2 linked regions of the Arabidopsis thaliana genome follow. The protein of the gene in region 2 interacts with the protein of the main gene of each other region in a pairwise test. Each region holds a gene or a part of one and is shown on either strand. Other genes may lie near its edges.

Evidence for each region.
Region 1: the proteins of UKL2 (region 2) and AT1G63480 interact in a two-hybrid assay, tested with the Arabidopsis thaliana proteins (one large-scale study listed by BioGRID).

The regions. Positions count from the first base shown.
Region 1 is NC_003070.9:23,538,899-23,543,929, forward strand, and holds AT1G63480 (AT hook motif DNA-binding family protein), read right to left. Parts: upstream 3,336-5,031; 5' UTR 2,788-3,335; coding exon 2,343-2,787; intron 1,936-2,342; coding exon 1,868-1,935; intron 1,783-1,867; coding exon 1,651-1,782; intron 1,569-1,650; coding exon 1,410-1,568; intron 1,256-1,409; coding exon 974-1,255; 3' UTR 659-973; downstream 1-658. UniProt on the Arabidopsis thaliana protein: Transcription factor that specifically binds AT-rich DNA sequences related to the nuclear matrix attachment regions (MARs).
Region 2 is NC_003074.8:10,038,488-10,044,941, forward strand, and holds UKL2 (uridine kinase-like 2), read right to left. Parts: upstream 4,580-6,454; 5' UTR 4,431-4,579; coding exon 4,235-4,430; intron 3,974-4,234; coding exon 3,882-3,973; intron 3,811-3,881; coding exon 3,741-3,810; intron 3,663-3,740; coding exon 3,544-3,662; intron 3,410-3,543; coding exon 3,313-3,409; intron 2,985-3,312; coding exon 2,905-2,984; intron 2,636-2,904; coding exon 2,441-2,635; intron 2,354-2,440; coding exon 2,270-2,353; intron 2,186-2,269; coding exon 2,125-2,185; intron 1,941-2,124; coding exon 1,880-1,940; intron 1,659-1,879; coding exon 1,565-1,658; intron 1,480-1,564; coding exon 1,407-1,479; intron 1,321-1,406; coding exon 1,238-1,320; intron 1,164-1,237; coding exon 1,017-1,163; 3' UTR 711-1,016; downstream 1-710. Other genes in the region: AT3G27200 (Cupredoxin superfamily protein), read right to left, coding at 5,251-5,609, 5,688-5,853. UniProt on the Arabidopsis thaliana protein: Involved in the pyrimidine salvage pathway. Phosphorylates uridine to uridine monophosphate (UMP). Phosphorylates cytidine to cytidine monophosphate (CMP).

The sequences.
Region 1 (5,031 bases), on a different chromosome or scaffold from region 2:
CTAAGAGATTTTTTAAAAAAGGAAACTTTTTTGAAGAACAAATTTATCTACCACCCAGAAATCGTAAACCCTAATAACCCAAAGAGTGAAAAGAACAACAATGGCGGCTTTTATATACCCAGTAATCAAAGTCGGGTTATTTTCAGCTGTGAGCTTAAGATCCAAACTGTTTTTATGAAACCTAGAAAAGAAAAAGAAGCTAAATGTTGAGTTCACTTAGAACTCAAAAAGAAAGTAAAATTGCAGATTTGAAATGAAGACAACAAGCAAAAGTAGCTACTACTACTGTTACAGTCTCTCTGGTAGAGAAAGCAAATCTCAGAAAAAAAAAAGGAAAGAAAAAAAAAGAAGAGAAAGGAAGTGAAGACCATTGTTTCTATTTATATACTATTTCTTTAATTAATTTTGTCAAAAAAAAATATTCAATTGGTTTACAAAAAAAATAAATTGGGTTGTTTAAGAATTTTTTTTATTAAAAAGGATATAGACTTTCTTCAATGGTTTATAACAAAATCTAATGTCTCATTAGATTTCTGACTGAAAAAGAAATTTAAGTCAATTTGAGGATATATATTCATTAATATTTAATGCTTTTCATGTATAAATTATGAGCTTGTCATCTTCCTATAAATTAAGGATCCTAAATCTTGTGTGTGTTGAATTACACATTGTCTACCAAATAAGAGGAATCAAGTTTACTAAATATGTTAAAGAACCTGAAAGAAAAATAGTGAACTAGTAAAGAAACCAAGTTCTTGATGACCACAATGAGATCATAAAAGAGTTAAAAAAATCTCCTAAAATAGCATGAAAGTGGGAGGGTTCTGTTACATTAACAATGTTAGAAGGAGCTGAGAGATCTAGTATCAATCCTTAAATGTCTGATTTCAACATTCCCAGAGAGAAATCTACAATAACATATGTACAGCAATCACATTTTGTATGCTGCTGCTTCAAAGACTAATAGTGTATATCATCCACGAGTCAAATCAAAATCAGTGAGTGGGTTTCTGCAAATGTCAAGTGATCTGCCAGAGCCTGAGCCTGAACCGGGCCACCCCCTTATTCCCTGAGAAGAGAAGTTCTGTGGCGTCTGCTGACCCGCAGATGCTGCTGGTTCAGCTGCACTACCCGGTGTGGTCTCCATTTCACTATTGTTGTCCTCTTCATTTGGTTCCTTTTCTTGTCTGATGGTCTTGTTATTGTTATTATGAGTCTTTGCCCTTGCTCCGTATACAAAACTACATGCCACCACCTGAATAACAAACAAGTTTTTCAAACACTACCACATGATATCTTGAAGAGGAAAGAAAGTGACAGCACAAACATATCAAAGGCTAACATTCGTAGTTAGTTTCGCCTCGTTTTAGCTTCACTTTACAACCATTAAGAAGAAGAATTTAATATACCTGAACAAGGTTGGCTGCGATAAGCATGTCAACTCCACCGGCAATAATACTACCATCGGGACGAGAAAGAGAGACACTCAATCCGCCTGTTCGACTTCTGGATCCACCTTCTTCATTCACCAAATAAGATCCACCAAAACTTATAATCTCAAAAGGTCCCTAAGAAACACAGAAAGAGGATTAAATAAGAAATCTTTTCAGGTTTTTCTTTTTCGATTAACTGAATGAACGACTTTGAAACCTCGTATGTTAAGTGACGATCGGTTGAACCGGGTTTGCACAGAGTGACTGAAGAAATGGTTCCAGTGCCTGACATTATACAAAGAGCCCGAGGTCTTTGTTGTGAAAATGACAAAACTTTCGCAGCAATGTCCTGCAAAGAAAAATAAAAGGAAATTGATACAATGAAAAGCTGCATAAATGATCATTAATATATAAAGGAGTTTTGGTCAGTTTACTTCTCCTGCTCCAATGCTGATCACATGAGGTGCAAAAGCAAGTCCAGCTGAAGTATTCATCCACTCACCTAAAGAAATTATCAGAGTCAAGAGTTTGCTATTACTTAAAGTTTGATTAATCACATTATGATGACCAATTACTTAAACATGAATGGATTAGTAAGATTACTCTTTCACAGCTTAAAAACCTAAATCAATAACTTAAATCAAGAAGTCGATTTCGTCCACATCTACTAATAACCAATTACTCCTCTCACCTAGCATTGTACCACACATAGATCCGTCAAACTAATAGCCAACAATCAATATTGAGTATCAGTAACGACAAAGTAACAAAACCTAACTTAACTATAGAATCATTCAAAGCTTCTAGCATCCATAAGATTCAAGCTCATGTCCTTCAAGACTAGCTAACAGAGCTAAAGCAAAAACTTAACTTGACAAAGTACACAGAATAGAAAACTCGAGATCTCACCAAGATTAGCCAAGCGTTGCTTCCTTCCAGTTCCAGGAGGTCGACCTCTGGCCCGTTTAGGTTCATTAGGATCAGACATTGGAGAAGAGTCCCTAGACTTATTACTAACCATCGGTTCTCCATACTTTCTTGGCCGTCCACGTTTCCTCTTAACCATCGGTTCCTCTGGTGGTGGCGGTGGCGGTGGCGGTTGCACATCAGCATCAGAAGCAGAGGAGACCACTCCCATGTGAATGGTGTGTCCAAAATCCGAGAAAGGAGGTCCTGGATTGTTAGCCTGAGGGTGATGAATGTTAGGGTTAGACATTGGCCTCAATCCCGTATGTGGCGGCGGCGCGTGAAGCCCACTCGCGACTTGGGAAGGTGCGAGATTAGTAAAGGCTCCTCTTTGAAGATAGTACTGAGAATGCGAGCCTGGAAATGCCATTGCTTCTCTTCCGTCCATGCATTAAAAACTCCAAAATTACAAGTCTTTAACAGAAATAAGAGATTTTTAAATTGATTAACAAAAAAAGGAAACAAATTTATCTAATCTAATACCCAGAAATCATAAACCCTAATTCCCAAAAGTAGTAAAGAGAACAACAATGGCGGTTTTAAAATTACCCAGTAATCAAAGTCGGGTTATTTATACTGTGAGCTCAAAATCCAATTTGTTCTTATGAACCCTAAAAAAAAAAAGCTAAAATCTGAGTTCACTTATAGAACTCGAAAAAGTACGATTGCAGATTTGAAATTAAGAAAACAGAGGAAAGTAGCTTCTCCTACTGTTACAGTCTTGCAGAGAAAAAAATCAAATCTCCCCCTAAGAGAAAAGCTAGATTTGATTGAGAGAAATCTAGGGTTTCTGAGAAGGAGAACACAATGTATATCAGAGGAGAGACAAAGGAAGAAGACAGATGAGACAATTCAGGGAGAAGAAGAGAAAAAGAGAGAGAGAGAGAGAGAGAGAGAGAGAGAGAGAGAGAGAGAGAGAGAGAGAGAGAGAGAGAGAGAGAGACTAACAGTTTAATGATTCTGATTTATACTTTTAATATTGTGAACTTTTGAATTGAGAGAGGTCTTTCTCTGAAAGTTAGAAGAAAACTAAAGAAGCTGAACGAGAGTGACGACCATTGTTTTTCGTATTTATATATCTCTTTAATTGATTTGTTATTTAATTTTGTGAAAGATAAATTCAATTGAGAGAAAGATTATTATGAAAGATTTAAGCATAGTTTGTTTAAGAATATTTGTTTAAGAATATTTAATGTATTAGTTTGTTTAAGAATATTTAATGTATTAGTTTGTTTAAGAATAGTTTATTTAAAGTATTAGTTTGTTTAAGAATATTTGTTTTTAATAAAAAGGATAGACTTTCTTTGATGATTATTACAAATCTAATATCTCGTTAGATCTTTGACTGAAACCGAAATTTATTAGTCATTGAGAGACAATTATGTGCTTTATTCTCATAAACATTGCTACCAATAAAGATTTAAAAAAAAAATCTTTTCTAACATATTCTAAAGAAAACAGTTGACATTTTAGATTATTATATCATGTAATATATTATTTCTTCTGTGACACACTTTTTCCGTTTTTATATGGAATCATGTTTAGTGGGTAAAATATGTATGCAAAATTTGAAGATAAATTCAATATATATATATGAAAAGTATAATAATGTTTCTAAAGAAACTAAAAAAATAAAGTGAAAATAAAAAGAGAAAAATGTACAAACCTTTTAAAATAATCAAAAATATATTATTCTTGCTAGAAAAAAGAAAAAACTACAACATGATTATTTCAATTTTGGAGCTATTTTAGTGGCTTTACAAACTTTCTACACCTCAACTAATCATGTCTATATATCTTCAATAGTTATCTGTAATTTTTTTTGGTCAACTGCTCTATAATATATTTATAATTTATTTTTAATTAGTATAGATAATTATAAGATTATTTCAAAATATATCTAAAAATTTTAGGTTTTCTTATAAATATATAATCTTGAAATTTCATTCAGTTACACTTTGACAAGAGGCAAGACTAGTATGAAATGACTTCATATCATCTTAATTCAAATTAAGATTTTAAAAGAACAAAAAAAATCAAATCTTGTTGTAAAAAGTTTGATCTTGATTAGAAATATCCAAATATGAGAGAGATGTGTTGTTGACTAAAGGATAGGAAAGAGAATGGGGACACACTTGAATCTCTTCTCTCTCACATGTCTAACTCACTTTGCTATTTCTTTCTTTGCTTCGGACAGTGAGCCCTCTCTCCTAACTTTATTTGTTTTCCATTTTTATATTCCCCTTTTTCTCTTTTACTTTTTATCTAAAATTCTTTTTTTTTATTTTCTTTTAAAAGTTTTGAAAGTGATTTATTAATATATATATATATATATATACGTACATATATTTTGTTTCCACCTAATTTGAAAGTTTGTATGATGCATTTAATATCCGGTGGCTAAAGTACCCGACCAAAAAATCCAAATAGTCAAAATTTGGTGCTAGATATAAATAAAAGTTTTCTAGAGATATATCATATATTATATATTTTGGGTTTAATTAGATTTGTTTTGCTACTCCATTATGAATAATCTTTACATTAATTTGTTTTGTTTAATGTCAACAATATTACATTTGCACACATTTGACTTTTGACAATAAAATAAAGAGTTTTGACTTTCCTTCTTTCA
Region 2 (6,454 bases):
GTAAACCGCGGGACTCTATCTTTCGGAAAAAAACAAAATTAATTTGTTTAATAGATTAACTATATATATAACTTACTTATACATATTTTTAAAATATGCAATCCTTAGATATATATATTATTTAGTGTATAATTACTATATTTGAGGTTTGTAGGAACGATAACATAAAGTTCATTCAGTTTTGATTTATTAGAAAAATAAACTGTTTTTCTTTTTTGCATTTAGAGGTCAGAAACGGTATACCACTGATCAATTCTGTTATAAATATAAATAAATAAATTTTAAGTTGTATTTGTTTTGTTTTGTATTAAAAATTGTATTATTGTATTTTGATTGTTAAAATCTAGAATTTCACCTGTGGTATACGGCCTCGTATTAATATCGACACATGCCCGTTCCACTATATAACCACGTCTCGTAAAATTAAACAACATTTTGTTATTTTTCTTTTTAATAATACTTTTATTTAAAAACATATAATTCAAGTAAAATTAAAAGTTTGCTTTTCAATGGTTCCCATAATATATATATATATATATATATATATATATATATTTACTTTTATAAAGCTCAAATATAAATTTATTTAATTATATAGTTAATTTTAATTATATATTCACTGACACGTATCATGATCTCGTGAGTTACTAACTTTCAAAACCGTACTTTATATAATAAGATTCATGGACCGATTGTTAGCCCATGGTATAATTGTTACTAAACAAAAGACTTTAATAAGTGTAAAATTAAAAATTTATGAAATCTATCAAAGTTCTTAAAAGTTGTCATGAATAAGGGATGCTTAAAAGTGTTGTTGACGAAAAAGTCGTCGGATATGAACTGCTTAAGCCAAGAATCTTGAAATGAGTTTTCAATTCTAGTAATTAGTAAGCGAGAAGCTTCCAAGCAGAGGGAACTAAAAAAAAACAAAGCCCGTGAAGATTCTTTAGACAAAGTAAAACACTTCCATTCACACACAAGCACAATAACCATTGACAAACACTTTGGTACTTCTTCTACTCGTCGGTACCAAAGTAGCGATCACCAAACTCACCCAAGCCTGGTATAACCCTGAACTCTTCGTTCAGACACTGATCGATTTCTGACGTCACAATCTTCAACTTTGGGAACCGTTTGCAGACGCAATGGATTCCTTCTGGCGCCTGCACGATGCAGAATCGATTGTAAGTTTTTGACTGAGAGATAGAGAGAGAACATTGGTTGATTTAACACTCACTGAGATAAGATTGAGGAATATAATGTGGGCTTCAGGTACTCCTTTCTGTATGAGTAGTTCTATCGCCTGATTTGCAGAGTTACCTTCAAGATATCATCCAAAGTGGAAAGATTCAGAAAAAAATATACTTCAAAGCAGAAGAAAAAGAAATAGAAATAACTGAAATTACCTGTGCCTAAAACAGGATCTAATAGCAGGACATGACGCTCGGAGATATCACTTGGAAGCTTCTCGTATATAAGCTGATTCATATGCGAGGAAGTTTCTGAGTTTTAGAAAGGAGACGTGAACCTTGTAAACTGTTAAGAGTACAAAACATTAACAGACCTGCATTCCATTGTCTCCGTCACGATGGATGAGAATCTTCCCTATCTTAATCCCTTTGCAACATGCGCGCAATGCGTTTTCCATGCTTTCACCACTAACAAAGCGTACAAAACAGAAAACTTTAGGCAAGAGAAAAGAATTAAAAAAGGAACTCACTCAACACATGAGCAAACAATCAATGTATGCTTCCACATGCGCAAACAATCAATGTATTCTTCCAATGTTACTATCTATTATAAACAAAATGGAAAACTGAACAGCTCCAGTCTCTATCTATTAAGAACTATAAAACACGTAATACCTTTTAACGCTCACCTTCGAATGACTGAGACCCCACAGAGTTTCTTGCAGAAATCAACACCGCTATACACAGATCCTGATTTGTAGAAGATAAGAAATTATGATCGTGTGGATGCATGCAATATATCAGCAAATGCCAAAGCATGATACGTTAATGGATCTCAAGAACAAGTTGGTCTAGATTTTCAGACACAATGACTACCACTATTTTATTTTAATAAAGTATAGTCACAGCTCAAGCCATCTATCTCCTCTTCTACCTGTCGGAGTAACTACTTGTTTCTCAGTGAAAGGCAAATGGCCAAGACCATGCTCCACAACCTGAAATAAAGGCATCAACAATTGAAATGACAAGGCGTGGAAGCTGAGTAACATTTAAAGGGATGACACGAGTAAAAAGAGTACCAAACGAATGAGGCGATCTGAGTAAAACACGAAGTCATGTTTTGATATGTCCTTCTCTCGAATGAGAGTGTGCATGCCTCTTATCTGCAGTTATGATCTTAAAGTGAGAATATGGTTTTAAGCCTTACCATCTGAATCAAGCATCAAACAGCAGGAAAAGGCAGAAATTACCTGAAATGTTGTTTCAATAACAAAAACATTTGGGTAGATTTTGCAGAGATCATGTTGCCCAAGTTTTGTGTGGATATGTTGCACAATCAAATCAACTGCAACGTGATTGTCACCTCCTCGTGGAATGATCACATCAGCATATTTCTTTGAGGGGAGCACAAAATCATCAAACGCAGGCTTCACAAACTTTGCATACTGCAGATGAACATAACACTCTCAAAACAAGATAAGGTGGAAAATAAAGGAATCTCAGAAAGAAACACTGTTATAAAGAAGAATAGTTCAAAGGGCGGAATTAAGCTAGAGTCACTCGAACAACAAGAGAGACATTGAATTGTTCAGTATTTCACAAAAACCCATAGGCTGCTATAATTCTTTGTCTTGTATTCACACATTAGAGCACTAACTAAGATAGGTGAACCTTGGTGACAAATTTTACCCCAAAACCTGAAACAAAGACTAACCTGTTCAAGCACAGAGTCAACATCCCTACCCCTCTCAACCGTGTCACGCCTGATTCTGCGAGCAAGCCTCACATCAGCATCTGGAACCAATAAATGGCTAAGATGAGAACTTTTTAACTTCAAAGAGGATTATTGACATTTCAGAAAGATTCAAAGTTTGCTAAGTATATAGCTCCAAAGGGAATTCATTCAGTCCTTAATGGTCAACAAGTGATGAAATGGCGAAAGTGGGACTAGTGAGTTAATCCATCAAAGGCCCCATCAGGCATCAGCCAGAACAGAAAGTGGACAGTTTCCATCAAACTATAAAATTGTCACTATATCATTTATAGTTGTGCAGAACAAATAAGGTCATATTATAAAGGAGAACCAAAAAGAAGGAGAGACAAGATACTGCAGCTAGTTAACCTGTGTCAACGAAGATCTTCATATTCATTAGGTCCCGAACTCGTGAGTCATGAAAAACTAGAATCCCTTCCAAAATGATGACATCACAAGCATTGACCTGACCAAAGCGACAACTGATTGGTTTTAAGAAACGATAATCCGAAGATTCAGCCACATGACATTACAAGCTAAACCCATAAAACCGCAGAAAAGAACCATATAAGGAGGTCAAACAAAAGAAGATCCATGCACCTGGCGAAAAGCATCTACTTTACGTTGATGGGTCTTGAAGTCATAAATTGGAATTTGATAGGGTTGCCCACTCTTGAGTATGTCAACGCAATGCAAAAGCTGCTCAGTGTCAAAGGCATCTGCAGAAAATGAAAAACAAGAGACGTTAAAAAATTTCACCAAAACATCAATGTTCACAAATCAAAAGAACAACTCACCAGGATGATCAAAATTGTATTCTTGTACATGCTCAAGTTCTTCAGATGTCAAACCACGGTAAAACGAATCCTAATCAACAAAACAGCATCAGAGTACCACACACAAAAATACTGAGAACAGGGACGGGTACAGAATCTAACCTGGTTAACTAAAACAATGCGATGATCATGAAGTTGCTGGATTATCATGTCACATACCGTCGTCTTACCAGAAGCTGTACCACCAGTAACTCCTACACAAGTCAAAGGAAAACATGTTCAAGTAAATCAAAGGATTAAACCCTAGAAACTGATTTTGATCCAGATTTCTCTAATCTTGGAAGCACAAATGCTACCGGAAAATTCGTACAGCTAAAACCCTAAGATAAAACCCTATAAAATGCAGTAGAAGCACCAATTTCAAGAAACTGAGAGATGATACACGATGATCGGAATAAGAGAAAGTTCGATTGTTGACTAAAGCAAGAATCAAAGAGCGAGAATCGAAAAATAACCGATAACGAAGGGCTGATGAGGAGCGGCGGGATCGTCGGTAGCCGAAAAAGAAGAATTACTCAAACGGAAGTGAGAAGGAGAAGAGACGGAGGATTTCGACGGAGAAGAAAGAAGACCGTCAAGGCGAAGACCGGAGAAGTGAGGCCCCGATGCCTTCTCCATGACATAGTCAATCGCCGTTGAATCTTCTGGCATTGAGTTTCTCGGCGAAGGTAAAGGAGAGTGAAAATTGCGATTTAAGGAGAAAAAAAAGGAATCGGAAGTGATCAGTGACGACGATTTCTGCACAATTCAGCAACCCACTTGTCCTCTCTCTCTCTCGCTCCCTCCGTCTTTTTTAAAATGTTTTTTTTGGGAGAAGAAACTCGAACGAATTAAATACTCCTTAAATTAAAATAATATTTTCTGTTTCAAAATAAAAATAAGATCATGACAAAAAAAAATATTAAAAGTAGATTTATATCAATCAAAACCGCTAAATCTAAATCCAAAATTTCAACATTTATTGTCTGCTTAATTTCTATGGACAATTTTGTTTTTAATAAAATTTACGATGACAAAAAAAAAGTATTAACAGAAACTATCCAAGTCTTATTTAGATTAGAAATGTTTTATTTAATAAATAAAAATGTTTATTTGATGTGCTGAAGCTGAAATGTTATTTTTTATATACGACGCTAAAATTGTGTACAATGGAATGAAACAAATTAATAATGTTTTTTATATAGATAAAGAAAATAACAAACTAATTCAAATTAATAATGTTGATGACAATTAAAAAAAATGATTGGTCATATGAGAAAGTATAAAAAAAGAATATTCCAACTCAACCAATCAAGTGGAGTAGCGGTTGAGAAAACATGAAAAACAAGATATATATAGAAAATTAGATCAGAAATGCAAATATCCGAACTATATAAAATACAACAACAAGTACGAATTAATAATTCCAAAAATATTTATTCTCTCCCCACCAAATATATTCGATACATTACAAAAAAGCCCTAAACAATTATTAGTAAGCCCAAATAAGACCAATAACCAACGATCCAACAACGAACATGTATCCAGTGGAAGCACGTAACCCATGACCTGAACTAGATCCAGAACCCGACCCTGAATCCGAACCCGAACCTGAACCTGAAGGAGAGGAAGCGGATTTGGAGTCAGAAGAGACAACGTTGACTTTAATCTTCATGCCTTGTTCGCAATGCCCAACGGTTCCACAAGCGAAGTAACGAGTACCGGTTTTAGAAAGCTTAACGACGTCGTTTCCAGAGCTTAAGGAATTAACTGATGTTCCCAGGTCACAACTCTTGTATGCTGTTTCACTTCCTAGCTCCACAACGCTGTGTAGTTCTGAATACTTAAAAACTAACAAGAAACAAAAAAGATTGGTTAGTATTAAACCGGTCGATTTGATTATGAAATTGAGGGTAGAGAGAAACGTACCGATTTGGTCGCCGACTTTGAAAGATTGATCAGAAGACCAAGAATCAAAATCAACGGATTGTTCCCAGCCTTGGCTCCCGCCGATCACATGTCGTGCTGCTAACGCTGTCTTAACCGAAAGTAAACCGGAGAAAACCAAGATAACAAGAACTGCTTGCATTTTCATTGGTTTAGTGAATTGAACTCGGTTTTGATATATTCAAGTTAAACTTCTGCTAGCTCGTGTATATATAGGGGGAATGCATGGACATTAGTTGCGTAAGAGATCTAGGAAGAAGAAAAAAAAGACGAAGCTTGGAGTTGAATGGAAGCTAAGATCTTTAGTGGTTGTAGAATCTTTAAAAATTAGTGTTATGGTTATTTTTGTTAGTTTATGTGTGTTCAAGTAGAATGTATGCATCAGAATTGCCAAATAAGTTAAGAAGACAAGAAGCATACAACAAGCAAGATTCTTTATTACCTAACTTTCACCTAAAGCTTCTACTTCCTATTTTGTTTTTCTTTAATCCTTCCATTCCATCGAGGCTTTTGAATGGTAACTGCGGAATCGGGGAAAATAAAATAAAACCTAGACAAAAAAATGACAGAGCTTTACAGTTCGGAACCGGTGTTTCCTCTTGAGACCTTTGTTAGTTGCTTCGTTTTGTTTTCTTATCGTGTTATCTCGTATTCGTAGTTCTTTTAGTCGTAGTTTTTCTTGTTTTTCTACTTTCATTGTTTACTCTTTATTTTCTCTCTCAAACTTAAAAACGGTAGAAAATATTTAA